Linked DNA regions of Drosophila melanogaster. The protein of the gene in region 4 interacts with the protein of the main gene of each other region in a pairwise test. Each region holds a gene or a part of one and is shown on either strand. Other genes may lie near its edges. The genes, in order: CG30122, Rbp4, gsb-n and CG7879.

What was found.
Region 1: the proteins of CG7879 (region 4) and CG30122 interact in a two-hybrid assay, tested with the Drosophila melanogaster proteins (one large-scale study listed by BioGRID).
Region 2: the proteins of CG7879 (region 4) and Rbp4 interact in a two-hybrid assay, tested with the Drosophila melanogaster proteins (one large-scale study listed by BioGRID).
Region 3: the proteins of CG7879 (region 4) and gsb-n interact in a two-hybrid assay, tested with the Drosophila melanogaster proteins (one large-scale study listed by BioGRID).

The regions. Positions count from the first base shown.
Region 1 is NT_033778.4:18,632,253-18,642,703, forward strand, and holds CG30122 (uncharacterized protein), read right to left. Parts: upstream 7,019-10,451; 5' UTR 6,709-7,018; coding exon 6,567-6,708; intron 6,366-6,566; coding exon 5,595-6,365; intron 5,488-5,594; coding exon 4,636-5,487; intron 4,570-4,635; coding exon 4,088-4,569; intron 4,020-4,087; coding exon 3,891-4,019; intron 2,690-3,890; coding exon 2,518-2,689; intron 2,034-2,517; coding exon 1,174-2,033; intron 1,112-1,173; coding exon 940-1,111; intron 876-939; coding exon 802-875; intron 735-801; coding exon 570-734; 3' UTR 76-569; downstream 1-75. Other genes in the region: CheA56a (chemosensory protein A 56a), read left to right, coding at 7,942-7,995, 8,062-8,550; Ntan1 (N-terminal amidohydrolase 1), read right to left, coding at 9,195-9,320, 9,383-9,544, 9,607-9,815, 9,880-10,062, 10,153-10,405.
Region 2 is NT_033777.3:13,652,689-13,659,186, reverse strand, and holds Rbp4 (RNA-binding protein 4), read left to right. Parts: upstream 1-2,792; 5' UTR 2,793-2,882; coding exon 2,883-2,924; intron 2,925-2,985; coding exon 2,986-3,242; intron 3,243-3,306; coding exon 3,307-3,590; intron 3,591-3,702; coding exon 3,703-4,398; intron 4,399-4,485; coding exon 4,486-4,493; 3' UTR 4,494-4,631; downstream 4,632-6,498. Other genes in the region: Hrb87F (heterogeneous nuclear ribonucleoprotein at 87F), read left to right, coding at 1-550, 623-720.
Region 3 is NT_033778.4:25,048,427-25,055,647, forward strand, and holds the start of gsb-n (gooseberry-neuro), read right to left. Parts: upstream 3,906-7,221; 5' UTR 3,583-3,905; coding exon 3,525-3,582; intron 3,198-3,524; coding exon 2,884-3,197; intron 1-2,883.
Region 4 is NT_037436.4:1,564,098-1,571,184, reverse strand, and holds the start of CG7879 (uncharacterized protein), read left to right. Parts: upstream 1-2,576; 5' UTR 2,577-2,767; intron 2,768-2,875; exon of another isoform or gene 2,876-2,988; intron 2,989-3,382; exon of another isoform or gene 3,383-3,657; coding exon of another isoform or gene 3,658-5,013; intron 5,014-5,617; coding exon of another isoform or gene 5,618-5,632; exon of another isoform or gene 5,633-5,793; intron 5,794-6,904; 5' UTR 6,905-7,076; coding exon 7,077-7,087. Other genes in the region: CG12003 (uncharacterized protein), read right to left, coding at 3,658-5,013, 5,618-5,632.

The DNA.
Region 1 (10,451 bases), on a different chromosome or scaffold from region 4:
ATCGTGTTTTAACGATTTGTCCTTTAAAATGCGAGCGCATTACACACCCTTTCCCAGTAATAAGATCGTTTAAATAGATTTTTTCAATGTATAGATTTATTCGTTAATGTTTCTTCTCTAATGCGTTCATTTCAATTGTTTGCGTTGATTGTAAAAAATAAAACAATAATCGTAATAAACGTTAAAACAAGTTGTACTGCCTAGATACGTAGTGCCAGAGTAAAGACCGCGTTTCATTCAATTGCTTCGTCACTGTCATATAGAAAATGCGTTGTGGAAAATGAAAAGCGAAACATTCACGTTCAATTTCAAATGATATATGTAGTCTTAGTTTTGTACAATCCATCCGAAGGTAAGGTAAGAATTTTGACTTAGGGTTTGGTTAGCCCTCGCAATTGTTTGGTTTCGACTAGCCCAAACTGGCTAAACTAAATTAATTTTGTTTTACTGTTCGTTAATCGTTTAAAACTATTATATAAAGTTTAGTTCAGATTTGTGGTTAACTCCTTTCGGGACAACGCAGAGGGGTCTGGGCCTGGTGGAACACGGCTGCATAGTGTTGCTGCATTCTACTTCTTGTCGGCACCCGCATTGGACTGCGTGGAGTACGAATATTGAGACCAGTAATGATTGGCGGCACCGCCATCATTATTGCCAGCGCCGCCGCCGACATTTACGCCTGATCCGCCACTGGCATTCCCAGCCGCTGCTCCGCCAGAGCCCTGCTGCTGCTGCTGTTAAAGAAACAATATCTTTAGTATTCTCGCTTCCAATGACTTTCATAAGACTCCTCCTGCTTACCTGCCACCAGGACATCCACTGTTGTTGCTGCTGCGGATCGGCACTCTGCCAGGCCTGTTGGTTGCCATAACCTGCTGGGAGAATCAACATAACTCGTATAGTCTTCGCCCTTAAGCAGTCGAACACTGCGTCACTTACTCTGCATTTGGTTATAGGCCCAGTATTGTTGCTGGCCCGCCGCTGCTTGCTGAGGTTGTTGGTATTGTTGTGACTGCTGCTGAGTCTGCCAGATGCCCGTTTGTTGATGCTGCGGCGCCTGCTGTTGCTGATGGTGTTGACTGTACGTACTCCACTTGCCGCTAAGGGAGGCCTACAGGAACGATCGAGATCTTAGCCAGCTGTCATGCGTCGAGGATTTGGTCGCACACTTACCTTGCCTCCGCCAGGTGCTCCACCTTGTTGCTTGTACTGATCGTAGCCACCGCCTACAGCGGTGTTATTGCCATACTTGGGTAGCGATTGACCAGCTGACCGCTCATAGCCACCGCGACTATCTTCTTTGGTGTCGCGGTGGCCAGGCCGAAAATCCCGTTGTTGATGAGTACCACCTCCCGAGCGATAGCTACTCTGGCTGCTGCCCCGGTTCCGGTCGTTACTGCCCATTCGACTGCGGTCGTTGCCACGGTCTCGATCGCGATAGTCCCGCGAGCTGCCGTAGCCGCGGTCGTCATACCCACTTCTGCGGTTGTTCTGCATCCAGTTTTGCTGACCACCACCACCACCACCACCACCGCCGCCGCCGCCACCACCACCGCTGCCGCCTGCGTATCCACGGTTGCGATTGTCGTATCCACGACTGCCGCTTCCACCGCCACCATAGCCGCGATCATCGTACCCGCTTCTGCGGCTGTTCTGCACCCAATTTTGCTGGCCACCGCTACCGCTGTTGTAGTTGCGGCGATTGTCGTAGCCACGACTGCCGCCTCCACCACTATTGCTGGAGTAACCGCCACCGCCGCCTCCCCTGCGGGAGTCGCTCCAACGACTTTCGTGCCGCTGGCCGCCATAATCACGACGTCGGTCATCATTGTATCGATTCCGGTTCCGGTCATCACGACGATAGTTGTCGCGACTTCCTCGGGATCTCTTGTCACGCGACCTCTCCGCGTCAATGGCCTTTTTGCCCTTCTCGTTGTACTTCTTGACCTCGCTCTTGGCCTCGTCACCAGTCAGCTCCGTGTAGTTTATATCATCGAACCAGCCAAACTCCAGCGAGGGAAGTGTGAAGTTGGCTGGAAAAAGATTGCGTGTACATCATCAATAAGGCTGCACAATTGCTAAAATCGCTCATTATCATTACAGATTAGGAATTATTGTAGATGGAGTATAGAGGGAAAGAAGGGATCAACTTTGGCAACCGAACGTAAAAGGGCGCAAAAATTTCGATTTTCAAGAAATCCAGTTGTGAATAAAGTCCATCCTTTATACGTTCCAGTTGCCAAGTGGGGGTTGTTATAGAATAAATGTTAATGAATAATGGTAATAATAATAATCAAATTATGAGATATTTTGAAGGGCTTACAGTTACAATTACGTATAGATACATAAAGTGCAGCTGCTTACAAACTAAATACGTTACATAAGTTTTTATAATGTTTTTCATTTTAACAAGAATGCCTCCTTATTTAGATAGGTAGAATAATAAGTTATACGATCGTACATTATTCTGGATTTTTTTTTTCAATTCGTTGCTTTGGTGTGGTGGATAATATTTACCTCGTAAATTATTAATTGTTGATTCTTTAACTGTAAAAGCATTTCCCTTTTCCTCTTTTTCGGCGATGCGACGTTTCAATTCATCTTCGCTGGGTATGCAAACGACCGCAATTCGCTTGAAGTCGTTAAAACCCTTCATTTTACGTCGCTGGGCCGAGGCATACACATTGGTCTACAAGAATACAGTTGGTTGATCGGTTGGTTGGTTGGTGTTGTTTGGTTGAATTGGGTTCAGATTTTGTCTGCCAGTTGTTGTTTGGTTGGATTTGGTTTGGTTGTTGTTGGGACAGTCGTCGAACTTGAGAAACACGTTGATGATACGGCTCGGTTGGAGACCTCGGTCTACCGGGATCGAACCCAACTCGCATTGAGCTCGCTTGCTTTCAGCGCTTATAATCTAACACATACCTGTTGCACGGCGGGACACCCACTTCCCGCCCACACTCCGCCGGCAAGGGAGCGGGGCCTTACGGAAGCGGTGCGCGCACACCAACATAATACCTAGGGGGCGGCGACGGGTTAATGTTAACCCGGCCACATCTAACAACAGTTGACTTAATACTTTGCATAAGGATAACAGAATGTACTATGGGGGAAAAGTAGTCGCGGTTGGCTGTGCTGCTGGCTGTAGGATGAAGCATCGCATAGCTTTCTGTAGATACACATACATATATATGAGAATAGTTGGCATTTAGAGAGAGAGATAGAGTAGAGATAGTAGGTACTAATACGTATATGTGATTAGATTGTAGGCGAACGACTCGTCGATCGGATTTGTGTTTGTCTACTTACAGTGGCATCCATGCCGCTCGCTCCTCCTCCTCCTCCTTCTTCCATACTTTACTTCACTCCATTCCATTACACTCACTCATCTTTCTCCAATGCCATTTCCATATCCATATCCACTTCCATCCCCACTTTTCTTACAATTCCCTCTTAACTGCCCCGTCAACTGTTGCGCCTGCACGTAAAACTTAAGCTAATGGGAAGTCCACAGATACTTACTGCCTCAAACTTAAGCACTCTAATTATCGGATCGACTTACAATTAGGACATACCTGCACGTTGGTGCCCCTTCTAGGGGCACTTGGGCACTCTATTAAGTTAGAGCGATGAGCAAAAAAAAAATGCATACTCAAATGTACAATTAAAAAATATATAGCGCAACATTGCTGTGCCCCGCTGGTGGAACCCCTCAATCCCGAGGGGATCAGAGCCCCAGTGTGTTGGGTGGGCGCCAAAGTCATCATCAACGTATAATTCTCGCTTGTTTCGTTTTGTGTTTGGTTATCGTTCGTTCATAGTGTAATCTTGTGTGTTTGTGGGCTGGTGTTTTGTTTCGGGTGTATGTAGGTCATTTGTTAATGGTTTACCTGATCAAGTATGAAATTTCGACGCCGCTTCATGGCAATATCTTCCAGAGCCGCCAAGCTATTTAAGCATATCTCGTACACCTTGTCCCATCGACCTTTGTGCACAGTCTTGCGAGAGGCGCCATCGATCTGCAAATATATTGGTCAGTACTGAATATCTTCAGCGCCTAGCTATGTACATTTATTAACCAACTTACTGTCATCTTTGAAATGAATGCGTCGGGTCCAATCAACTCGTAACGCTTGTCAGCATTCTCGGCCACATGCTTATGGGCCCAATGGGTCTTTCCGGCTCCTGGCAAGCCAACCAGTAAAATGACTTCGCACTCCTTGCGAGATCCGACGCGTTGTGGACCGGAAACCAGCTTTTCGACAGGTACTAAGCCGATCAATACATAGCCTTCCAGCAGGGCAGCTGTATCCCTTGGCTCGGGCACGACATCCTCGTACTCATCTTCGGTCGTCTGCGACCTGTCCTTTTCCTTTTCGGATTCAGCCTTTTCCGAATCTCCATCGGTTTTGGGTCGCTTGTTCGGCGAGGGGCCATCCTCATCTTCTTCATCATTGTTTTCGGAGGGTTTCTTATCCTCAGATGCCTTTTCATCGTTTGCCTGTTCTGCAGCAGCATCACCATTTGACACAGCTGCAGTTTCTGACGACTTTTCGGTAGAAGTTTCAGCTAAAAGGAAAACCCAAAATATTAGCATTTTGTGGGATAACTGATTTTCAATCAATCATTACTCACCAGTTTCCGAAGCCTCGGTAGCTTCTGATTCGGGCTTAGCAGCTTCAGCAGGAGCCTCGACTTTAGTTTCGGCTTCTGTTTCCGTTTTTGGCGCCGCCTCATCCTCTTTGGCTTTTTCAGGATCTTCGGCTTCCTCTTCATCTTTCTCCGAAGAAGCCTTGCCATCTTCATCCTTTTTCTCCACCTCATCATCATCCGCCGTGGCTTCGTCCAAGACCTTCCACTTCTCGCCATCGTTGTCATCCTTATCGTCGTCCTTATCCTTGTCTTCGTCTTTACGTGGCTTGCGGCGCTTGCGCGTGGGCCTCTCGGCATTCACCAACAGCTGCTCGGTGTCAGAGAAATTCACTAAGTATTCGTAGCCCTTGGTAACGATGTGCGGAAACAGGGCTCCCTCCTCGCCCAGTATGCTCTTCTCAAACTCGAACGCAACTCCAAGATCCTCGCCGTTCAGAGTGTAGTTAATTGTGCACGGCTCACTTTCCAGATCTAAATAGCAGCCGATAACGTCATCCAGCTGGTAAGGCTTGCCGTAATCGGTAAACTCGCTCTGAGTAGCCTTACGCCCGGTCTCGCAATAGCCAAATGAATGCTCGGCCTCGCCTAGCAACAAGGAGCTCTTGGGCATTGAAAATCCCACGCGGAATCCTCGCACATGCGGCTCATCGCGGAAGTAGTGCGAGTTCTCCGGCACCGACTCCTCGGAAAGGCGCACCTCAAAGCACACTTTGCCTTCGCGCACTCCGTAGTTTGCGCGGGCTCCGGACCAAATAAGCGAGTAAATTTCCGATGTCAGGGGTTTGGCCGATGCAAACGTGGTTGGGTCGATGCGTAAATGCAAGTCAGAGTCCACTGGAATATAAAAACAAAGGGATATTAGTTACTGTGAATGATGGATCAAGCTTTGAACGTTAAGGAATGTGTGTATCGAATTCGTTGCAAACAGCAAGTCTACTTACGCCAGCTCAATCCGACTTTGTTCTCCTCGATGGTTGGCTCGTCCTCAGGAACTGTGCGTTCCTCGGCCGCTGCCTTTGACTCACGCTTGTCACCTACGCTGCCGCGATGTTTGGACGAGCGGGAGCCACTGCGCGATCGGGATTTGGACCGACTGTGTGATCGCTTGCGGCGTTCCGGGGGCTGATCCTCAGGCTTAGCTGCTGGCTCGGTCTCCTCCGCCGTTTTCGGGGCGGCCGAATCCTCCTCATCAACGTCCATTTTCTGGCTGTCGCCATTTGACTGATGCTCGGCCACAGTGCTCTCGGCTGGTTTCTCCTCTACAGGCTCCTCAGTTTGTGTAGGTTCCTGCTCCTCAGGGGCAGCATCATGATCCTCTTCCATGGGTTCATCAGCCACTTCATTCTGTGGTACGACGGCGGGTACTGCCTCTTCGATTGTCTCCTGCTTGTCGTCTGTCTCCGACTTTTCATCAAACTCTTCGGGCTCAGGCTGCGACTCCTCATTGACCGCTTGGTTGACGGTTGTGTCCTCTGTCACTGCTGCAGCTGGCTCAGCTTCCTCCGGCTCACTTTGTTCTGGTTCCGGCTCGGCTGCTGGCTGTTCACTTTCTGGTTCTGGCTGTGGCACTGTCTTATCCTCCGGCTGCTCCTCCTCTTCGAGAGTATCGAGCACTGGTTCTGCGGCCACGGGAGCAGCTTGCACCGGCGATGGAGAGCGGGACATAGAGCGCGTGCGACGCTGACGGCGGCTTGGTGTGACCGGCGCATTTTCTGGACGCGGGAAAAGTGAAATGTGATTACTTTATCATTATATAAGGAAAACTTACAACTAACTCACGCTCAGTCGCACACAAACAGAAACCGAAACACAAGCATGACTTGGACGCGGCAAAGCACACGCACACAGTGACACCCACACACATACACACTGGAACAATCGGGCGGTCAAATGACGCATACACACAAACTTACCACCGTCGCCGGCTCCTCCTTCCACATATGCCCTCAGGCGCTCGACGAGCACCGCTTTGACTCCTTTGGTGTCCAGGCCGCGCGACTGGAGCTCGTTGCGCAGGTCCACCACCTTCATCTTCTCCAGCTTCGCCACATCCATTCTTGCGCTTCAATTTGGATTGGCGGCAGAAACACACACGCTTATTCACTCAATGTGCACCGCTGAAAAGCTGGCGATGTGAAAAACTGAATTGGGGGAATTTCGGGCCAAATCACGCTGTCTGGCAAATGACACCCACACTGGAAATGTCACCGTAGTCAAGTCGCAATGGTTGCTAGCACCGTGCGCGCACAATTAAAACGCAATATTCGTTTTTACATTCGCATTTGTTGCGAATAAATAAATGGACCTAAATATTATACCGAACGCGTTGAAGTGAAGTTGGCTGCGATTGGGAAAACGAAAACGTAGAGCTACCGTGCTTGGGTTCGATACTTGTGCTTGGTGGCTATCGATAACAGGCTGAACATCACTAGCGATAGAAGGCGCTTGTGTGCATCAACCGTTTGCATGTGCGCTGCAAGAAAATATTTAATGATTGAATGATTTGTAGTAAATACTATATCAATAAAAATTAATAGGCAAAGTCAATGTTTATTTCAAAACATAATTAATAGTATTAAAACCTGCATAACAAAGTGTTTTTCGTAAATTGACTTTAGGTATAATGGCTGTTTGGCACAGGCATTAACAACGACTCCGTGGCGCAACGGTAGCGCGTCCGACTCCAGATCGGAAGGTTGCGTGTTCAAATCACGTCGGGGTCAAGCAATTGATGTTTTTTTTTCATTATTTTTAGTTTGCAAACTATATAAAATAAATACGAATTTAAGATTTCAAAAAAAAAAAACAGTATACAAAATTTGCATCGGCCGGGAATCGAACCCGGGCCGCCCGCGTGGCAGGCGAGCATTCTACCACTGAACCACCGATGCTTAAATACTAGATGTCTTACCTTCAATATAAGCTTGGATTGCAAATCCATTGGGTCATTTCTATAAATTGCTAAAATAGTTTAAGGTTGATTAATAAAATGTAATGCTGAAATAAAACTAACTTAATACGCAGCGTTGCTAATATACTTATTACGAAAAACTGCATGTTTTTTATATTATACCATTTTCCTAACTTGTTATAACATCCTAACTTCCTAACTTTTGTAACATCGATTGTGGCCATGCCCCTTCAGCAGAACAAGTGCTCATTAACACTCACTTATAATTAAATTTGAAATATATTTTATCGACATGCCATACTCATGTCGCTATAAAATCTATAAGTTAAAGATGCACAATCCAAAATTTCGCAATTGGAGCGTTTAAATTCAGGAATATGTCTTTTTGGTGGATGATACAAAGCCTTTTGATCCTGTGGACAGTGTCAGTGGTAAGAATAAATAAAATAATCAATAAAGAAATTTGTGGCAATAATATATTTATTTTTAATTTTTAGGGATCAAAAAAAAGCAACTATGAAGTCCGCTTTGAGTCGATAGATGCCGTAAAAGGAAGTACCGAAACCCTTTTTCTATACCAGCTACGATTGCTCGGTAGAAACCGCATGATAAATGGAACTCTTATTTTCTTAGAAGACTTGGACGAAACGTTCGACGTCCTTTTCGAATCCCACGCATTTAAAAATGGATATTGGGTCAAGGGAATCGTGAACGCCGCCGCCAGCAAACCCTGCGAATTTTTCAATCGCTACTACATTTCCTTTTTCCTAGTAAAATCGACCGAATCGAATTTACCCACTACCGGTGCTGAAATGTGTCCTTTTCGAAAGGGTACATATTTTGTGAAAAACGGCGTTGTTTCTACCGAAGATTGGCCACCCATTGTCTTTAAAGGTCTTAACAGATTCACCATTTCGTATCTAAAAAATGGCGAATGTGTTGGTGGAGTTCAGTTAACAATTAGTATAGCAGAAATCATCACATAGTCTTAAAAATTTATAATACCACGAAAAAATATATGGCATAAATGAAAACTCAATTATTTCTCTGTGTGTGTGTGTATGTATAGCCAAGCCATTTTTATATATTTTTCTTCTTACATTTTTGATTACAGTTTATAGTTACAGCTAAAATGATTGCATTCGAAATTGTTTCGTTTCGTTTACACGGAATATGCGCATATATATTTAGCTAAGAATCTCTTTTAAATAGTAATAGGTTCTTTAATGGGGTTCACATAAATATTTACATGCACATTTGCACATAGAATTGTAATAATTATTTATCGTTATATATCGCTTTTACGTTCCCAGTTCAGATCCATTTCTAAGGCTCGTCCCAAGCAACCGTCTCCAGCGTCGGAACTCAATCTTGTATCTAATTGAAGAGAGATTATGTATGTCGCATTCATCAATTGCTATTGCTAATCGGCCGATAATTACAGCAGATACAAATTAATCAGGAAATCAATGACAATTACAGCCGAATACAATCAACTTAACGATCAAAACTTAAACAAAAGGCAAGCAGAAGCATTTGCGGTGGACAGCGACAATTAACACATGCACCAGTCAATTAACACATCTGCGACATTTTCGAACTGCGTAACAACTAAACACTAAAATAAGCTTTAATATCTAACCAGCACCCAGAAGCCCGTGGCGTCATCCCGCCGGAAGTAGCGCGGCCGATTGTCCCTGAAAACGGTGACGGCGGGGAACTGATTCTCCTGTATAAACCTAATGGTGGCACGCGTCTGCAATTAAAAAAAAACTTATGTGTCTGCACAGAAACATATAGTATATAGTATATGCATACCTGAGGCGCAAAGTGAGGCGGCTCCACGTCTGGACTGGAGGACAGGTGCTGCAACAGAAACTCATCCGTTTGTGATAGCCACAGATCAGCGCCGCGCAAAGGATCGTAGTTAAAGGGTCCAATGCGTAGCATGCCCAGCGAGGAGTCGTATATATCCAGAACCTATGAAGCACAGCCAAGTGATTAGCAGGTTAACTCATTGGGAAATTTTGGCCTTTACTTACCGACTGCGCGCCCATGAAGATGCGAGCATCGCGTAGCTCCCGGTCGGGTCCTCGGTCTGGAAAGGAGGCCGGAAAGATCTCACCAGTCTTGATGTTCACGCCCACTCCATAGATGATGGGGCAGTTGATCTCGCCGCGCATCATGGTATTTAGCTCGCCCACGCAAGCCTGCGTCAGATCGATTTCAAGTAGGTGATTGTGGAATGATTCTGAGAAAAATGATAAATGAAATTCATATAAGAACTAAAACACGCAGCTTAGAAATGAACTCACGCATAATGCTGAAGAATACGTCCTCGCCGTATCCCTTGGCATCGCGATAGCCACCAATCAACTGCAACTCGATGCGACCCTCCGGATAGCCGACGGCCAGCTCCTGAACCCGCGACACCATGGTGCACACAGCCTCGTCCACGCCGCTGCCATCGAAGTGCGCCAGGGCCACAGCACCAGATCCTGTCGTGAATTGTTGGTAAACATTATTAGTACGGGTTAATGAGCCAAACGACGCTTATTTATGGGGCAAAGGATATTGGGTATGCTTACCGGAGTGCCGGACCACAACGATAATACAGGTGGTGGCATCGTCGGCACCGATGATGTTGACGTGCTTGTCGTGCGGGGCAGAGGCGGCCATCTCCCGCTGACCCACGTAGAGCAGACCCACCGGACCCACCGACTTGGCCTGAATGGAGTGCAGCTGCTGGGCGTAGTCTCTGTAGACGGGATGCTGCAGGAACAGGCTGTTGGTGTCCATGGGGCAGTCATCCTGCAGCACACCATTCAGCACGAGCACCATCCTGGCTGTCTGTTCGTCTGTTGTATCCTTCCTTGACCCTCTCGCA
Region 2 (6,498 bases), on a different chromosome or scaffold from region 4:
AAAATCATCCTTCAGAAGACCCACTCCATCAAGAACAAGACCCTGGACGTGAAGAAGGCTATTGCCAAGCAGGATATGGATCGACAGGGCGGAGGTGGCGGACGCGGAGGTCCTCGAGCTGGCGGTCGCGGTGGTCAGGGTGACCGCGGCCAGGGAGGCGGTGGCTGGGGAGGCCAGAACAGACAGAACGGTGGGGGCAACTGGGGCGGAGCTGGCGGCGGCGGAGGATTCGGCAACAGCGGCGGTAACTTTGGAGGCGGTCAGGGCGGCGGCTCTGGCGGTTGGAATCAGCAAGGCGGAAGCGGAGGTGGTCCATGGAATAACCAGGGTGGCGGCAACGGCGGCTGGAACGGTGGTGGTGGCGGCGGCTACGGCGGCGGAAACAGCAATGGCAGCTGGGGCGGTAACGGTGGTGGAGGTGGTGGTGGCGGTGGCTTCGGAAATGAATACCAGCAGAGCTACGGCGGCGGTCCACAGCGCAACAGCAACTTTGGCAACAACCGTCCAGCTCCTTACAGTCAAGGAGGTGGTGGTGGAGGATTCAACAAGGGTATGTTGGGTTATTAAGTGATTTGACCATAATGTACATAATGTACTTAAACCATGCATTTATTTTTTACAGGTAACCAGGGTGGAGGTCAAGGCTTTGCTGGCAACAACTACAACACCGGAGGTGGTGGCCAGGGTGGAAATATGGGAGGCGGCAATAGACGTTACTAGACAAGGTAAATATAGATAACCTGGACGACAGGTCCTATCCCATCGTACAATCTCAAACGCTCGGATCTTTGGTCGTTATTGGCAGCTAGTTGGTAGCCTAGCCATGCAATCAAACTCATTTCGGAACGATTCGAAGCTAATGCAAAATTTTCTCCTCTTTCGCAACTAGGTAAACACACATAGAGAGAGAGAGTGTGTCAGTTCAAGCTAGACGACAAACAGGCAGTCTAGGCAGGCAGATGCAGAGGGACAAGCACATTCACAGGCAGGCAATCAGTAGCATGTGTGTGTCAGACCAGGCAGACAAGATCAGAACCAAGAAATCAAGATGCAGAACCAAGAACCAGGCCGTGCGCAAATGCAAACGATAAATCAATCAATCAGGTTTGGGTCCGGCCGCAACCTGCAGGCTATAGCCATAATCCACTTGTCAAAAGCACCAAGCAAATGATTATGCGTCAAGCAAAACAGCCAAAAGCGAAACGAAACGAAATCCAATCGACGCCACTTGTCCACAGTTTGAATGCTGCTATCTCTCTTTTGTAACCATTAATAATTCGCTGATCGATTTATGTTTAGGGTCCTAAGAACCCCGAACGCTTAGTTTTAACCATAAACAAACAAAAGAAACAAACACAACAAAATATAAATTAAACAATAATTTTATTGTACAAAATTGACTACCAACTGAGCGGCGACGGATTCTCCTTGAGATTCAGTCGTTGTAAGGGTGTTATAAGGTAGAGCACTTTCTTTATATTTATTCATGATTTTATTGTTTTTAGCGATCCAGCGAAATGTAAGAAATCAAATAGTACCATATTTTGTAATCACTTTTTTTGTACAACTAAGAACCTTTATGATTTGTGGCAAGTAAGATCCCAACTCCTGAAATGCGAATGCCACGCACATTTGTGTACAGGCTGCACAGTGGCCGAGAAATGGTGTCCTAGCGAGCAAAATCCATATATGCATACCAACTCTGTTAGTCCCTAAGAAGTAGATGCTACGTTAAGCCAGACTAAAAAGAAAAACGCTAAACAAATATCACAAACATTCTGTAATTAGTTCGTTACGAGTGAAACGAAAGCGACAAAGAGATACAAGCAAAATAAAATCCTAACCAATGTTACCTACCCACCCAAAATGAAACGAAACGAAATAATCACAGGAGCAATGCCCTAGCAAAGAGGAGCAGCAACTGCAGCAAAATCCGGGTTTTCCGATCCATCCCAGATCGGCAGGGTAGCGGGCAGGGCTAATTACCGTCACTAGAGACCCCCACCACCTAACCCCCGGGCAAACCGCCGCATACTAATGCACTGACTATTTCTTTGCAAGACTGGCCGGGCTACGGACGGAAGCTCCCTCCCGGGTCCGTATACGAAATCTGGGCTGCTCCACGCACCGGTTCGTTTCCACCAGGTATTAGTTAATGGTTTTAGACCGCAAAGCAAGCGGTGGCCCAGGAAGAACTCACTGGTGGACTTTGGTTGGTGGCTCCCTTCTGGCTAACTTGGTGGGTACAGCGGAGGTAAGTGAAGGTAACTAGTCGGTATTCTACTAACACCTCATTTGTTTCTGAATTTTTCAATAAAGTACAACTTTTACTAGCAAGAACAAGAGCTGTATTTTATTTTCTGGGGGCGATATTTTATAGGGTTACGTATAAGGGTTTAGGCCCTATCGATTTATTGGCCTATTTGTATCCAATAATGCTGAATCATCTAAAAGTGACAAGAACTTTCACTACCAAGAACAATTTGTTCTATGAATACCATAAATGTTCAGTGGATTATAGCCGGTTTTCGAAGGACCTAGCTTTCTGGATTGTATTACGAACTAAATTCTTATGAGATCAATGGGGTTTTTCTTCTAATAATGCATAAGTAGGGTTTTTTGCTAGGACTACGAAGCAAAAGAGGCGATATTATAGGGATTTATAGGGTTACGCTTTAAGGATTCAAACCCTATCGATTTATTGGCCCATTTGCATCCAATAATGCTGAATCATCTAAATGTGGCAACAATATTTTTGGACCTTTTTCGATAGTCCATAACTATAGACGTTTGGATTTTCTTGCCTGTCATTCAATTTGTGGTTGGCTTCACCTGAGTGCTGTAGTAAATCAGGCTATTTTAATTTTGACATCTCTTCGAAAATGGATGCGGGAAATTGTGCCTCGTCGGCCTGCCTTGGAGATGTAAGCTCATAATCCCCCAAACTATTCATAATTATCAACGAAAGTCGTTGTGTGTGTGCAGTGCAAAGGCGACGGAAAGACGGCCATTAAGGAAGAAGGCTACGAGCATTTGCGCAAGATCTTCATTGGCGGCCTATCCACTCAGACGACCGTGGAAACGCTGCGCGGATTCTTTAGTCAGTTCGGTATCGTGGCCGATGCGGTGGTCTTGCGGGATCCGGTGAGCAACCATTCTAGGGGCTTTGGCTTCGTCACCTATGTGGATCCCAAGTCCGTGGAAATTGTCCAAAGGGCACGTCCCCACACCATTGATAATAAGTGAGTAGTTCTCTAATAATCTTTCGCTGCCCTAATTCTATAAAAAGTTGATTAATTAATTTAGAATTGTGGAGACCAAGCACGCACTGCCACGTCAAGATTTCAAAAGGGGTGGCGGCGTTGGTTCCGTTGTCGGAAGTTTTGGCTGTGAAGCCGGTTTCATGAACTCGAAAAGGATCTTTCTGGGCGGCTTGAAGGAATACCACGATGAGAATATCGTACGCGAATACTTTTCGCAGTTTGGCCCTGTGGCCAGCGTGAAATTGCTCATGGACAGGGAGACCGGACGTCAGCGGGCATTTGGCTTCCTCGAGTTCGTGGATCCATCCAGTGCCGAGAAGGCATTGGGTAAGTTTCCATGTTTCTCATTTATTGAAAGTCATCGTGCATTTTTTTCAACTACCTTTAAGTATGATATAGATTAAAATCTGATGATAACGCTGCTTGCTTTGATTTTCAGCACCGCGCAAGCACTGGATTCTTCAGACATTGGTGGAGGTGAAGAGATCCACCCAGAAGGCCGACAGGCGTTTTCGGTTCCCCATATTTAGCTCGGTTCGAGCCGGCTACATTCCGCCCCAGCCGGCCACTGCTGATAGCTACAATTACAACAATCCCAACTACAATCCCTATCTGGCCCAATCCGTCCTGCCGCCATCGGCATTCACTAACGGCTGGGCCCACTATGTAATTCCGATGGCACCCAAGCCAACACCCGGACAGAACATGGCTGCTTCGTTGCCGTCACAGCAGCTGGCAGAGCACTCGCTCAACGGACACGGTCCGGACATGTGGTCCTCCTATCCGAAGACCGGTATCTACTCGGCCCAGGAGTGGACTTCCAGCAAAGTGGCCGAATGGGGACCGAAGGCCGGGCACAAACATGCCCAGACATCGACCAACGATCGTGCCAAAATCGATTTGAAAGAACTCCAGGCAGCTACTTTCAATAACAAGCTGGATTTCGGCGCCCGTGGCGACGCGGATCGCATGTCGGGAGCTGGCTTGGGATTGGGTTTGACTGGCGGTGCCGCCGTGGGAGTTGGAGCTATTAAGAAGTGGCCCACCCAGGACTATAAGGTCTTCAAGCCAGCTAAATCTCCGACCAACGGAGTGATTCCGAAGATCGGCAAAGAGGCTACAACACCACCCTACGGTTCATTTTTTTCCTTAAAATTTAATTTAAATTTAAATTTAATTTAAGAAAGAGAAAAGAATCTAAAGTATCTTTTTATTCTTGCAGGTATCTAAGTGGCGGACGATGGAACGCAGTTAAACCCAATTTACTGCCACAGTTTAATGCTATTACTACAATAATTTGCAGGCGATTCCGTTCAAGATATTTAATAAATAATAAAGCATACGGGTCCTTTTGAGACTTAAAATCGTAAACTCTTGTTCTTTATTTATACTATTTCTGTTGGTTTTTTTTTTATGTTTGTTTCCATTTAAAGTATTGCATGTATTGCATGAGTGAATTGATTTTTCGCAAATGTTTTATATCTGAAACGCTATAAAACGCACCAATGAATTGTGACTGGAATTTTGTGGGCTGGCTTCTTCGACTGGCTTGTTATTAATTAAAATTATGCAAATTGCTATCGATTGCTCGGCTTTGTGCGCATCAATTTCATTTAAATGCTGAATGCTCAGTAGTTCTTCAGTTGTTTCAACACAAAGGCAAATGGGAATTGGATTCAGTCGCTGGATAAGTAAAGTCGCCTTGATAAGTAAAATTACATATCCTTGTGAGTTTTTCCTTTCAGATTTCTAAATCTACGACTTGGTGTTTCTTTTAAACGCATTTACCAGAAAAGGAAATACGAACCGATCCAAAACAAATGTGTGTGTGTGTTTTTTTTTTTTTTTTTGAAATGAAACAAAATCATAAGTTTTCTGGTAAACACGCTGAATCTTTGTGATTGGTTTTTATTATTATAGTTATTTTGTAGTTGTACACATATAAATTAAATTATAATTAAGTGTTTCCCTCCTTTTCTCTGTACTCTTTACAAACTGCAGTATTGTGATTTCATCGGTTTACTTAGAAATGAGCATGAACTCTAATTGTTTGTTTTTCGTTTACTCTTACATCGATTTAGTTAGTACCTCTGATTTGTATTGTATTGTTTGATGCTGTTTTCATGTTTCTTATTTTTTTTTTTGTTTGTTTATTATTTCTATGATGTTGTTGCTGGCCACGGAGCACTTTCAGCACTGATCGTTGAGCTAAGGTTTGAACACTAACACTTTCGTTTTACAAAAAATGCACTAAAATTGCTTTAGACCCTGTTCACAGTGCTAGAAATGCGTGGTGTTATATAGAAATAGTTGTGGAAATTGCGATTGTAATTGATTTAGCAATTGATTCTCTAGGGCAGGCGTCGAACAACAAAAACAAATGATATGTTCCCAACGAATTAAAAGTCCTTAAGCTTTAACAAAACAAGAATAACTTGGGCAATTATATATATTTGGACGCCTGCGACAAAACTCAAATGATGCTCACACGAATTTAATGTTTTCAGTTTCCTAATCGCTTTTCTGCCTTATTTTTATTTTGCAGCAGCAGTTATATAAATATATATATATATATATTTATGTATATTTAGATTTCTGGTAAGTCTAAAAGTTAACATTAAATTATATGAGTTTTTGTTTTGTTTATATATATTTTGTATATATTTGTTGTTACATGTTTTGCTTGTTTTACCTTGAGAAAAATGTTAGTAGCTTGTGTCTCGTCCCCCAACTATTTATTATAATAGGTTCTTGTGTGTTTATATGCTTCACATCTTCTCTACTCATTTCGTTTCATTCTTTTTTTGGGCTTTTCTTGATTTTATTTAAAAAATATGTACTAAATTTTAGTTCACAACTGCGTTGGAAACACCAAATCGTTTAAGTTGCTTGACTTAGTTTGGTTTACGACCTTGAACTTATTACACAGAACGAATAAAAGAAAAGCGAAAACACTGACCGTCCGTCCGTCCGTTTATTCCTGACCATCGATTGCATCGAACACGCACCCACCTGCGGCGCCGGCACCGCATTTGCCCTCATCACACGCTCTCATCTCCACACTCTTCCGATCCAAACCGATTCGAAGCGAACCGAACCGTTTCGAACCGATACGATACCTATATAGACTAGCTAGTCTGCAAATTAGATTTAAGTAGCAAAAGGTTTACAGGCTCTAAAATGCGGCGGACTTTCTTTCTGGGGCGCTAAACGTCGACGTCGATGTGTGTTTGTG
Region 3 (7,221 bases), on a different chromosome or scaffold from region 4:
TTTGACTATGTGCTCAACAGACGATTGTGTCGCGTGCTTTCTTAGAAGACGATACAACTGCAGATATTGTAAAAAATCGAGATTGCGAAGTATTGAAGTCGTTAATATGATCTATGCAAGCCAAATGAAGCTTTCGGCTTTAACTGCCAAGAAAAAGAGGCTTTAGTTTCCCCAAATTAAAATTCGGAGTTGAGCATACAAGTATTGGCGCTTTTAAGGCAGTTATATCCAAGCAACTATTTTGGAAGTTAACAGACCAAACGGCCCAACAACTATTTGTTTCCCATAGTTGTGAACTAAAAACTGACAGTTGGATTTACCATTAACTCTAGGTTCGCTCCCATCGCTGCACACGAAGCTCGACTGTGCAAGGTACCGTCGTCTCGGCAGCCAGACTCATAAGGTGAAGTACAGTGACCCAGCGGCGGAGGACTCGGCTCGCCTCAAATGGAGTGGCATGTGCCGCAAACATTTTCATGATTAATAATATTATTTTTCCACTAACGAAATTATCGCAGAGTGGAGGCATATCTCCGTGTCTCTAAGCTGCGGTTAATTCCCCGGCTAACAAAGGTGGCATAACTGGCACCTCATAGACAAGACGAGACAAGATATGACGCCAGGCTCGGAAACAGAAACTGACATTTTGTCCAGTCTTGAGTGTATGCTGGGAGTGCGGCCACCGTCCGGCTGGCTAACTGGTCTTGGACTTCTGGCTACTGGCTCATATTTCTATTGAATGTGTCATGAAAACAACAACAGAAAAATGTTTTGATTTTCAACTGGGTTGCGTTACTCGCGTTGGGTCTCCGGCTGGGGCCTACCAGTTGTTTGGCTGGAATGTGTGACGGCTTATCTCGGCGCAACTGACAACTGGATCCCAATCCCAATCCCAATCCCGATCTCGATCTCGGTCGAGCCCCCGACTGTGAGACACATTTTTTGCATCCGCCCGTGTTGTGGCTTACAATTTCAATTGAAATTTAATTAATTAGATGACAGTTGGATTGACACTTGACTGCGCTTTATACATGACCGATTCGTGTTGCGTTTTTGACTATATTATGTTTGGGCTCTTTCTAGTTTTTTAGTTTGACTGACTGATGCGCTCTGTTTTTTTAATAATTAAATTTCTTGGAATCTGGAACTTTGTCAGCGGGACATTTGATTATATTTGGTGACTGAAATTTTCATCAAGGAACGAGCCCCTGTGGAATTAAAAAGGAAGCCGAAGTTAAGAGCGCCTGTACATAACCAAGTCCAAAGTACAACATTTAAAATCTGAAATCCCGATCGTCGATAAGCCGCCACTAAGCGAGTCATATCAGGTAGGCATAGGGAGGGGTAATCGCGGTCAGGTATGAAATCAAGACACAAGAGATGCCTAAAGCATATTCTAATTAAGCGTGAAGCTCACCTGGAGGCAGTTTTTACGCCTACTGCCACGCAAAAGCGAGCGCACACAATATAAGGCCTATAACACCGAAAACAATCAAAATCCCGATCTAACGGTTTTTGTTATTGTGAGGTCATACAAAAACAGCAATGTGATTGCATATTTTTGTCATTCATAAAATTTTAAATGCAGTTTTTAATTTTTTATATTAATAAAGCACTAGTCCAGCACTCTTCCCATAAAAAAATAAGAAGATAGTAAGCTAAAAACTTAGTTTATTAAAAAACTACTTTTGCGAATTAAACCATCCTAAATTTCTTTCTGTGCATATTACACAGTGCGCATCTTTTGGATTTGGAATGAAGTGATGCCGACTCTGATCTATAGTCCGATCGTATCGATCGCCCGAATCCTAACGCCCCATAAAGTGTGGCTAATTGCGGTTTCAAATAAAGAGCGGGACGATGCCGCCAAAAGAGGCTGGCGCATGAATACACTAGTGCTTGTATTAATCCTAAACCCTACACTCCCTCCACCGTCGAGAAGTTTTGCCGAAAGGGAAAATCAACTTCAAGACGGCCGTCATCCATCCATGCAGGCGTGAATCGGTGGAGCTGGTCCGGCTAGTGGGCAGTATGCCGAAATCTTTTGCCAGACTTTTGGTCTCTGTGAATGAGTCATATTGGCGTAGGTTCAGTAATGAGCTGAAACACAATTTCCCCGTTGGACTTCGCTTTTGCCACATAAGGTGTGGGGAAGTGTGCTCATCTTTTAAGCTTAACGCAAATCTGAAGCAAAATAATATCGCAGTATTGGCAAAGGTGGCTAGGTTTGTAAGACGGCACATTAAAACAGAGAATAGATGACAAGGAATATGTCGTTAATTATAAATTTTGTTAATCTAATAAACGAAACGAACTTATATGCGAGCCATTTTAATGTTTTGATGTAGGACCGATTCTTTCACGCCTCAAAACCGGAAGCGAAGTCCCGACGGCGAAGAATCATATAAATATATTCTCGTATAGCACCTTTTCGCCTCAAGGACAAAACACAAACGATGCCGACAAGGAACACGACAGAAGCGGTGTCTTTATGGTTTAATTGATTTCTTAACGGTTTGGGTGGCAAGCGAAAATTTGTCGTCGCTGTTGTTCAACAATATTGTCAATGAGCGGGCAAGTTCAAACTGGGTCCTTGGTCAGTTTGGGCCATCTGTGCAGCTAGTCAGCCGACATATGCAAAAGGCCAGTAGGTGTCATAGGCAACGTGCCATAACAAAGCCAGCGGGCGGTACGAAACTGCCACGTGACTTTTCGGAAAACGGAAGTAAACTGATTCGCATTCGGTGCGTATTTTGACCCTCTTCTATCTGGACATATTGGCATGCGGTTAAGGCTACCGGCAGGTCCTGCAAATCCTCGCATCGTTTGTTTTGGTACATTTTATTGCTTCCTGCAACCTTGCAGGTGCATCTCGGTACTCACCTTTATCAGCTTTTCGCGTATTTCCCAGCTGAATATGCTGGGGTTTTCCTTTCGCAGCTCATCGATCCGCGTTTCAATTTCGGGAGAGGTCACCTTGGGCTTAGATCCACCTATTACGCCCGGTCTAATAGAACCCGTCTCCTGGTATCGGTTCAGAATCTTCGATACGCAGCCGTGAGACACGCGGAGCTGGCGCGATATTACACAAGGCCGCACTCCACTGGCCGCCATTTCCACGATCTTCAGTCGAATGTGATTGGGCAACGGACGTCCATTGATAAAGACGCCCCCAAGCTGATTTACCCGGCCTTGTCCTGTGGGCAAGTTAGATCAATTGGCATAAGCACTGATAAGTCAAATCATTTATTATTATTCATTAGTCAGTAGGAATCGTTCACTTCCTTCTGAACTTAACCTAATGTGTAGCTTAAAAGACATTATGGATTCTGTTCCTTAATTATAGTGTATACATATGTACCGTACTATCTTACGTGTAAGGAGTTCATGGGAATGTATTCTCTTCAGGCGTCGGAGGGAAATAGGGTTCAAATGTAAACAAGTCTAGGTCTCGCATGATTTCAAGGGGTAAGTTTTTTGAAATACACAGTATAAATGATATGATATATGTTGAAATTACTTACCTTGAAAGGGATACCCTGCGAAAAGGGGCCGCAACGAGTTCGCGCTGGACATATCCATGGTCCGAATGCAAAGAGCTTATAGCAATCGAGAATCTAAGCGACGCTGCACTCAAAAAACTTTCTTTATTTTCGGTAGGTTAGTGCATCCGAGTCGATACCATTGCACAATTATATTTGAAATGAGCTATGATCAGTAGGCTGTCGTTCCTTGTGGGAAATCACTTAAAGCTGGCCCAAAGGACCCACTTCATCACTACGACGGGCGGCTCCCGATTCCGACGGTACTTTGCAACTCTCAGTCCGGTGGTGAGAAGCGGGATTTTTCTTGGAATCACGCGCGCTTCAGCGATCAAACTGCACGAGACGTGCAAAGCAACTAAAGAGAAGCGCGAGCATAAATTAACGAGGGCCGGCCGGTCCGGGCGATGACTACGACTACTCCGCAGACGGGCAAACAATGAGATCGCTCCACAAACTGGTTTTCGCGCCGAACAACCACCGCCAGATGGAGACGCAGATGGAGATGCTGGCAGGAGGGAGAGTGAGAGCAGCTTTCGCGCCCGCCCTTTCGGTGGTTGCTGCCTACTGGAGCGCCACGACCAGGCACAATATGGCACCGATCAAAGCCTCACAGCCGAGCAGAGAAAGAGAGAGCCGGTAGTGAGCTGACCGCGCTTTAATCGAGGAATTGCCACGCCTCGAAAGACGTGATTGGCTGAGCTGGTTCAGGGCGGATCTGGGCTCAGCTCGCCCGACTTTTGATACTGCATCGCATCCATAATCCATCCGCACATCAACCCCCCTGACGACACTCGCTTGATCACTCTGTGAATGCAGCTGTCCCCGAGCATTGTGGGAATTGTATGACTTTTATTTCATCGCTGGCAGCCAATTAAACCGTGAAGGCTGCAGGGAGCACAGGACACATGCCGAGGACCACGACCAAGCCCAATCGCAAACTCAAGTCCAGCACCACATCCCAGTACCAATCGTTCCGGTTTTGTTACTTTCAGCACCCACAGTTCCATGTCGTGTGCTTCCAATATATGTTTATCCCATTTTGCAGTCTGCACCCTCCTTTAGCTTCTGGCTAGTTAGGTTAGTTCTTTGACAGAAATGTTTATGGGGTCTCAGTTTCCTTTAGCTTTCTGCCTTATCCTCTCATTTTTTTCAGGGCTTTCATAACATTCTGCATTTGATTAATTGAATGGAATGGAATGTAATTTAATGATGACCCTTTGCGGATTAGCTTTAATATCATTCATTGGTTATCATGCATTCATGATTGAAGGATAACAAAGCTTAGATACTGTGTACAAGCAAAAGCCTGACTAGTAAACACATCCAGCACATTGTTCTCCGAGCAACGAAAGTCAATTACCAATATACAAACACAAAAATCAATCAACAGCTATTAACAGCAAAGAAATTCACACCTGGTACAGTTTGAACGGTCTGCAGTTTTGAGAAATTGAAAAACCAACGAACAAAAGCGAAAACAGCGAAAGGACGTCATCATAATGTAGAGAATTAAGCGTGAAGTTTACGCATATTAAGGATACGCACATGCCGCCTGCATCTGGCATCAGGGCGAGACAGGGACAGGGAAGGGACGCAGCCTAAAAATGGCCGCTCGTCGTCCTGTGTTTGGTTCGTATTGGAGTATGTTTGTAAAAGCCGGCCGCATGCAAATTTCTGATATACAATAATATTACTAGTGCTGCGTTCCGAAACCGAATTGAGCAGAATGAGCTGGCAGGCTGAAGAAATATGCAAGGACTCTCCAAAGAAGGATTTATCTGCTAAGCCGACCTGGAGTCCCTGCGATAATGAGCATAAAAATCGATGTTAATGAAGCGTTGTGCAAGGAGCCCGTATGGACAGCCACTTGAGTGCACCGGTACGCCTCATCAACATCGGCAATAGAACTTGCCATGCAAATGAGCCAAACAGGACGTCCTAGGACAAGGCATATTTTAATTGTGTCTCCGCCTGTTTTCTAAGCGAAACCACAAGAACAGGCTCATGATAAACATAACAAATTATCTAATATGCGTATTGACAGTTTTCAATTATCGGAGTTCCTCATGCGTGGCAACGACAGAATTTAAACTTTTGATACGAGCCAAACGCTGCCATTTGGGTTCTTCAATGTATAGAGTTTCGTTTTTCGTACGTCACTTTCCAAAGTCAAGAACTGGAAAATCAAATTCAATATGTCGACTAATTTATATAAGGATGCCCTTATAAAATCACTTTTTTTATACAATATAAAAGTGCTAAAGAATGAATACTGCTCACCGTCTTTGGGACTCTTTTAAGTTAATATTTCGTCAACAAAACCTTCAATTAACGTTTTATAAACGACTTTTAAACAAATTACTATAGTTGTAAATCTGTATCTGTATACGTGAAAACGTCTCCTCATTGCCACGCTATTGATGGGCTTTTATGAATGCCGTAAACTGAAGCCAAATTCTATGTATCGTTTTCCCTGAATCAGAGCACATGTTGGCCACACTTCACAACCGTGATTTACAGAAGGCTGTAAATTTTGTCGCCAGCAGGGCATGCATAGAACTTGTCCTGCATTATAAGAGGCTGTTAAAGGCTAGTGTGAGTACAGTCAAATTCATTCAAACTCACGAGGCTGTAAACCACTTTGAAATATCGTAAGAAAGCAGGCGGACGCTTACGAATTTTTCACATTATTATGCTCTCTTATGAATAGGTGGCGACTTCCCAGAATGGTCCAGTAGCATCTGGCGATTGCTGGGGCCAAGCAATACCAAATGCCAATCGGGTAACTAAATTTTCCAGCCTACTGTTCGCCACTTGCTGTGCTACCGTGCTCTACGGCACCCCGTTGATGTGACACCTTCGTCGTCCTTGAACCGCCGCTGTGTCTTCCCAATCCTAGGCAGGGACCGGTGGGACCAACGACGACGTTTGTTTGCCTTGCAAATTTAGCATACAGGAGTTAAATTTGTTTATGCGTGCGTGTTTGTACCTAATTTTCACTTGTCCTGGCCCAGATGGATAAGCGATCCGTCATATGCGATTGTTCAATATTTGTGGGATCGCCAGTCTGTTTGTTGTGCCTTCCGTTTGGCCACTGGGTACTGACGTTTTTTAACATTGTCTCAAATTTCAGAGTTCCTCTGCATCTGTTGACAGTTTTCTAACGGAGTTTTGATGGATCAGTTAGCGGAACCTCATTGTACGGCGGGACTCAAGTGGTTAAATTTAAACACTAAAGTTCCAGGAACGATTGGTAAAGATTGCGAGAAGTGCTTAAGAGACACTTTCGTCGAGATGGATAGGAAACCGTTTTATTTGCATGTAAAAAAAATCGTTTAAATGTCTTGTGGTCGCAGAAAGCCGCATTAAGCCAACTTTAAGCAGTGCAAGAAAGACATCCCCAGACGACTTTGATGGATCCGACGGTCAGGGAAGGTTTAGCGTGTTTCGCTTAAATGAAGTACCAAAAAGTCAATTTATTTGCAATTAAATTGTGAAACCGAACTGCATGGAACCCAGCCTTGGCATTTGCATTGTCCAGCAACAGTTGAAAGCCAAAACAGATACTCCACTCGCTCGCACTCTAGCTGCGTCCCTTTTTCAGTTGCAAGTGCGTGGCAGCGGCATGAGCTTTGATCTTGCCCCGTTCACACGCATGGCCTTTCCACTCCATCCC
Region 4 (7,087 bases):
CACCTCCACACCCACCTTCCACCTTGTCTCAGGGTCACTTCAAACTGCTCCATATCGATTTCACCCGCCTGGGAATGCCAACCAATCAATAGGCGAGTGCAAAGCAAGCAGAATGAATTACATATTTGATAGATCTTGAGTCCATTTGAGTGAAGTTTTTTTTTTTAAATAATCTCGAATGGGGAGCTTTTTGAGCAGCGATGCTATTGTGCGTACAAAAATAACCGAAAGTGCAATGGATACAAATAAACTGAAAGTTCTGGTGGAACGGAAACATATGGCAGTTCAAGAGGATTATGGGGGCCAAGAAATGCGATAAGCATTCGAGGAAACAGGGGGGAAATACAGAATAATGTTAAAATCTTGCGTGGAATCCACTTACTCTAATATTCCAAAAAGGCAAAACCTACAAATCGAAGTGAAATAGAATTGAAAATATCGGAAATGACGAACAGGAAGTAAAATGAAATGTCAAAGTTCCTTGCTGAACAGTGGGAAAAAAGGGTATCGCCCATGGTAAATTCCGATATTATTTATTCAACACCATTTAAAAAAAAAACTCTTTTTTTGAGGAGTGCCTTTACCAATCATTTTTAATAACATCAAGTACAAGATAGCTCGAAACACTGACTCACCACTAAAGGGTTGGGAAACACTAAAAACTTAATAAACTTAACAAAAAAAAGGTGTAATAAACACCTTTTTTTATGATTTAGTTTTAACAAATGGGATATTTTGTGATTATAGAGTCATTTTATCTCCAGAAATGGTATTCAAATATAAAAACTCTTTGGATGTTTTGAATACTTATGGTATATTGTGAGTATTCCAGTTGTGCTGACAAGAGTTTCCCATTAGGGGAATAAAAATCACGTTAATGATAACGAATGAGTCACGAACTCGTGCAAAAGTTAATAATACTCGCATTGTTGAACTCGAATTTGTGAGCAAAACGCAAAGCGTTAAATGTTAAACGCTTGAAATTTGCTTACGAATCTCGGCGACACCGAAAGCCAGAAGTAAATGGCCAAAAGAAGAGGCAGAAGAAGAGTGAGAGAAGGCTAAGCGAAACACAATCAGCTGCACAAAGAAGAAGCAACAACAAGTTGCTGCTGGCGGAGATACACAGAAATTGGCCAAGCAAAAGTCTCCAAGCGAAGAAGAGTCTCCAAAGGTGGCAAGAGACGAGTAAAAGCCATATTGCGATGATTGTGAGGGAAAAGGAGGCGCGGTAAGTTGGTAATTATGGAGCAGGGTGTGTTGGAGGTCGGAAGCCTTGCTGTGGGGCTTCAGTGGGTAAATTGAATTTCAGGCAAAAACAAAAACATATGCAGCGTCAATAAACCATATGCGAAACGACCTTTTGGAGAGTGGGGAAAGAAGAAGACTCGAGCTTATCTTCATTGCTCTTCCACTCACGCACACACAAACACACACAAGTACACTAACACCTTGCTTATCAATGCAAAAGTACATTGACAACAACGAAAACACAGAAAACGAGCTCAATAATTTCGTCATCGAATCGGGTAATCCACAACCTGCCATTTCAGGGAAAACAACTTTTACACAAACACACACACATGCAGAAAACCTGCACGCACAAACTGAACAATTCCTTTTTTAATTGGTACGCTAATTACCTTTTTTCAAATGCAACTCTCCACGCTTTAGAGCGTTTTCACAGTTGCAAATTCCGTTTAATTTCGCTGCACCCGTTTTATATAGATTTTCAAATCTCAATACGTTTTTCTTTCTTTTTTTCACCTGACGCCAGTCGCGTCGCCCACTGACGTCGTCGCTCTTGTTTGGGGCTAAAAGAATGGCCTACAGCGGTTGACTTATGGCCGCGGCGGTACGCAATATGTTTGCCAATGTTTGAACACGATTCCTGGATGTTTTTTTCGCGGATCGTGGGTGTGAAAACAGCGAAGGAAAGCGGAGCAAAATAAATGAAAACTACGCACGAATCGTGTTGGTGTGTGACCTAACTACACTAAGCGCTAAAATCTGCGTGCCAATACATAAAAAATACCGAAACATATGTTTTACAGTATTTGCGTGGGAGTGCTGCGTAGTTATTTTCTTTTCGTTTGCTAATTAAATACCACAAGTGTTCACACTGTGCATCACGCGCACAGGCGCATCTTATCACTTGCGCTCCGCTTGACTTCGGATAAAATAACATAAGCAATTCCAACTAATATGGTAACAAACTTAAGTTAGCAGTAACAATTAAATTAACAGGGAAAAATATTTTGTAGCACTTGCACATTTAAGACTCGTTAATGTTCAATTGTTCAATACTCCAGCACAATCTTGCAAGATCAACATATACCATAGATTATATTAAAATTTAAAAGGTTAATAAATGTAATTGTTTGGTTACTTTATTGTTTTAAATAAACGTCATATAGTGACTAACGAATTAGAATTGTTTTTAACAATTAACCAAATCGCATTTCAGAAACCCCTTCATATTTTGCTCACAGGGTGCCCGTGGTCTTCGGAGTGATTTTTTTCTGCTGCACGACTACAGGTCACACTTTTCGTGTCAGCCATGTTGTTTTCTGTCACCAAACCCTCGCAAGCGTAGGAATTACAAAACAGCATTTCACTTTTTGTGTTGCCAGGAAAATATAAATTTTTCAGGCCGATCATCAGCAGGAATAATCAAAATAAATATATAGCAATTGAGCCAAAACAAACCCAACTGTTTTTGTGCATTGGTGGTCCAGAATAAGTGGAGTTTTGAATGGTTTTCATGGTGAGTAAAGTTCATTGAATAAATTCAGTACTCGTACTTAAAACAGCGACACCTCGCCCCCTCCGCTTCTCCTCTTCGTTCGTTTCGCTTCTGCTTCTTCCCGTGGAGATGCTTCAACATCAACGACTTCGAAGCAGCAACAACAACACTGCACGGGAGCGAGAAGAAAAACCAAGAAACTGCTGGAAACAGTGAAAATCGGTTAAAACCATTACCCAAAAGTATGTTGATCAGTATTGATTGGTGCTTAACGACTCGCAGATTCCTCTTTGCGCTCTGTTTCGTTTCGGTGTGCAATTCATATTTTATGCTTAGGGTACAGTCTCGGTTCTACTAGCAGCCCCGTTCCAGATTCGATTTCAAGATGAAAGGCATTATGTAAATACATTTCCGCGAATAAATTGTGTACCGCCTGTCACACATTCGGGGGTAGAAATATATATATTGCTCTTGGTCGTAGTAAATACCTGTATTAGCGAACATACCTGAATTGGCTTTAAACCGAAACATAGGTAGTCCGATACAAAGTCTTGCTTAGCTAGGATCACTCAGGAACTGAAAGATCTCTTATTAACAAGCATGCTAATAAAATGCAGAAAATAAAACAACGGATTTGTTTAGCATTGCCAAGGCAACATATCAATTGGGTTTTATAGCGCTTACCATTAAATAGTCTTAATAGCTGTTTGATCGGAAAACATACCACTATTTCATATTGGTACATAACTTTAAGGCTATCAAACAATTTTTAAAATATATTTCTATAATTATAAATGATATATGGATAAATGCAGCCACAATGCTGGCTTCGATTGGCAATTTTGATGGTAATCTCCCTCTAAGAACTATAATTTCGACTGTTTTTAAGAGTGTACACTTAGTTTAAGTTTTCAATACTTTAGACCACGCGATCGCAGCGTGTTGGGACGATTTGAGCCACCGCCAAAAATGCTCGTGCGGAAGTTCGGGGTCTGCTGTGGATTGTTGTTACCCACGAGGCCAGGTTGCCCGGGAATCTGAATCGGGCCCGGAGTGCTGGGCGCCCTGCTGATGCCTAGGCCGTTGTTTCGCAGCCTGGGCGCCACATAGGGACGCTGGCTGGTGGAGATACCGCCCGTTCCCAGAGGCGGCAGGATACCTCCGTTTGGAGGATTCACCACCGGAGGCTGTTGCGGCTGCTGTGGAAGATTTGCATTGCCCTGAGGCTGCGGTTGCACTATAGGCGGCACAATCGAGTTCACGGAGGAGTAATTGGGAGGCTGAGGCTGCTGCTGTTGCACCGGAGGCTGCACCGTGATCGGCGGAATCTGCGTCTTCTTTGTGAGCGCTGGAGCCAAGTACGGGTGGTTGCCACCACCAGTGCCACTGCTGTTGCTCTGCGGAATGTCGTAGGTGCGGCCTGAAGGCGTGGTCACTTGGATACTGTTGCCAGGCTGCATGCCACAGGGCTTTGGGTAGTCGTAGCCATTTGGCACCGCTTGGACATAGTTGTCGAAGTACTGGCTCACCTGATGCATGGGCGTGGAGTAGTTGACGGCGATCAGCGACTCCTTGGTTCGTACTCCCGAGCGGGCTTGGGCGTGGGCCGCCTGGAGGCGCAGGATGTTGGCCTGCTTAATGTGCGGCAACAGTTCGGCATCACCCTTTATCTTCTCGACCACAGCCTCGTCGCTATCGATGTTGCCACTGGGTACGATCCCGCCCTCGCTTTGCTCACTGGCTCCGGCTTTCTTGGTGGTGGTCTCCTCCGCCGGCTTTTGCAACTCCTTCGGCACCCTTTCCTCCTTCTGGCTGGGCACCTCCTCCGGTTTCTTTTCACCCTCGGGCTTCTTGCGATTGACAAACTCGAATAGGTCATCTATGTCGGGCACATCGGGCAGTGCTCCGTAGGAGTCAAAGTTGTCTCGGAAAGCACTTGCCCACTCCTCGCTCTTGTGCAGACTGGGATCAATGATCAGTTTCGGCTGCTGCTTGTGGTTGTGGCTGCTGGCGATGGAGGATCCCAAGGCCGCAGCTTCTTCGGGCGCCGAAATGCCTCCCACATTCTTGATCACCGTGATGGTCTTCACGCGGGTACCCTCCTTGGAGTCGATGTTGGTGGCTGCGTAGCTCAGGCTGAGATCCCTCTTGGCCGGCTGCGGCTCCACGGCGGGCTTATCCGGGTACTTGATGCTGATTATCGTGGCTCCATGCACGCCCACCAGCAGCAGTAGGCCCAACGCGGCCATTGTGTGAAAGCGGGCAATCTGGGAAATTTGGTTTTCTAGTTATAACTCTCTTCATTTGCACTCTTTCGTTTTCGAATCCAATTTGGGTTAGTAAGGCCCTAGTTTTTGTGATCATCTTATTCAATTTAATAAGGGATTGTTGTGATTGGGGCTTTAATCTAATACTAATTTAAGTCCCGCCTATTTAGACCTTTAATCGAATGATGTTGGTAAGTTCATCAAGCGATTCGTAAATGTTATGCAAGTCAATCCAAGGAAATAATCAAGTTTTAAATTGTGTATTGCAGTGGTGGTCTGCATGTTATTCTTTTAAATGTGTTATGAACAGAGTTTGGAATAAATCAGCAGTAATAAAGATTGAATCTCTTATTTCAACTGGATGGCACTGCAAGTTAAGTCTATCGGTCATGGATAAGTAAGAGGTGAAGATTGTTTGGTTCAAGTGAAGACCCGATCAGAAGTCGAACAGTAAGTTGCTTTTGTGAATCAAACATGTTGTTATGTAAAATCGATCGATTAGCATGTAGTCCAAGGATATGCTCAAAATCACTGCCACCAAATCACTACTCCTATTCATGGCACACTTTTAAGGGTAATAATCCCATGCACATCGATCACTCACTTTCGATCTTCTCATCGCTTTAATCCTTCGCACATGCGATCGATCAATCAAATGATCCGATCGTTTAACGATGAAATGAGCAATGCGATGCGATGATAATTGTGACGAGGATCAATGACGGCCGACTGCGGCGGGCAAGGAGACGGTGACGGTGACGGTAACGCGGTCAATTCGAATTTCCTACTGCCGGCCGAGATGGCAACAATGCTTTTTATATAGCCAGGCGGAAGGAGTGGAGCTTCGGTTTGGGTTTCCTGTAGCTCCCCGGCTCTGGATATCTAAAGTCTTTGACACCGAGATACAAACAATCCGACAACGAGCCAATCGCATTAGCTCAGAGCACACAACTAGCAGGCCGATTGAATTAAAGCTGCATAATAGCTTTCCCATTACGTCCAAAACGATCAACGAGTTTTCTCCAGCCACTACTGTTTTGGGAAAGCAGTTGCCGCCGATCCTCCCGCCAGCCCCGAACTATTGATCCCTCATCCTCCAGTGGACGCTGCGGAGCCGTCTCGTCGGCACATAATTGAGTGCGACTAATGAGGAAATTGAATCTGGCTAATGATCGTGGAGCATGTGGATCTGTGGTAGCTCCAGTGGGTGGCTGCCTGTTAACCACACAGCTTAAGTAGAGATAGTTTTCTTTTTTCTACACAATGCCTCATGTCCTTGGTAAGATCATGTGCGAAAGTCACCAGCTGCTACTGTAAGTGAGACATCTCAATTAGACCTTTATTCTGGCGAAAAGCTAGGGAGAGAGTAGCTCCTCCTAGCTGGCTGGCTGCAAACTGGTCGTCTTACGCAATACCAAAACGCACGCTTGTCTTGGCCAGCCTCAAAGATTGTCATGAGAAACTGCCATGCGAATCCATGAAATAGTGGGTCTAATGTGTGTGCAACCGAGCGATCAACTCGAGATTTAATCAGGAGCAGAGCACAGCTTTTCCCCCAAGGAAGTTGGAAAGTAGTAATGTAGGAAATACAGAATTGCCAGGCGCCTACAGGGTATCATCTTATTGGTCTTCTGTAGTTTTTATTAAAGTCATTGTTTAATCTAAATTCTTCCGAAAGATTTTGGTTAAAACTTGTGTGATCCGCTGATAGTGCATAAGCATCTTATATTGGAAGATTAGCTGAAGGGTATACAATGAATGTTAAGTGATTCATCAATAATGGATTGCAGCGGTCTGTTCTCTTTTATTCCTTAAACTGAGCTGAAATCTTTATTTTAAGACATTTCATTTTGTTGGTAAATCCTCCATAAGTATGCGATTATCGTTACAGATTTAAGAATCCACGGGCAGCGGCATCAGTATCATCAATATCAGGTCAATACGCGTCTGATGTCCAACGGAGGAGCCAGCGACCAGTCAATGGAAGTGGAGCGCAAGTGAAGACAGTCTGTACTAGAAACGAAATAAATAAGTAATCAAAGCTAAGCAATTGATTGATCAAGATGAGTGTGAT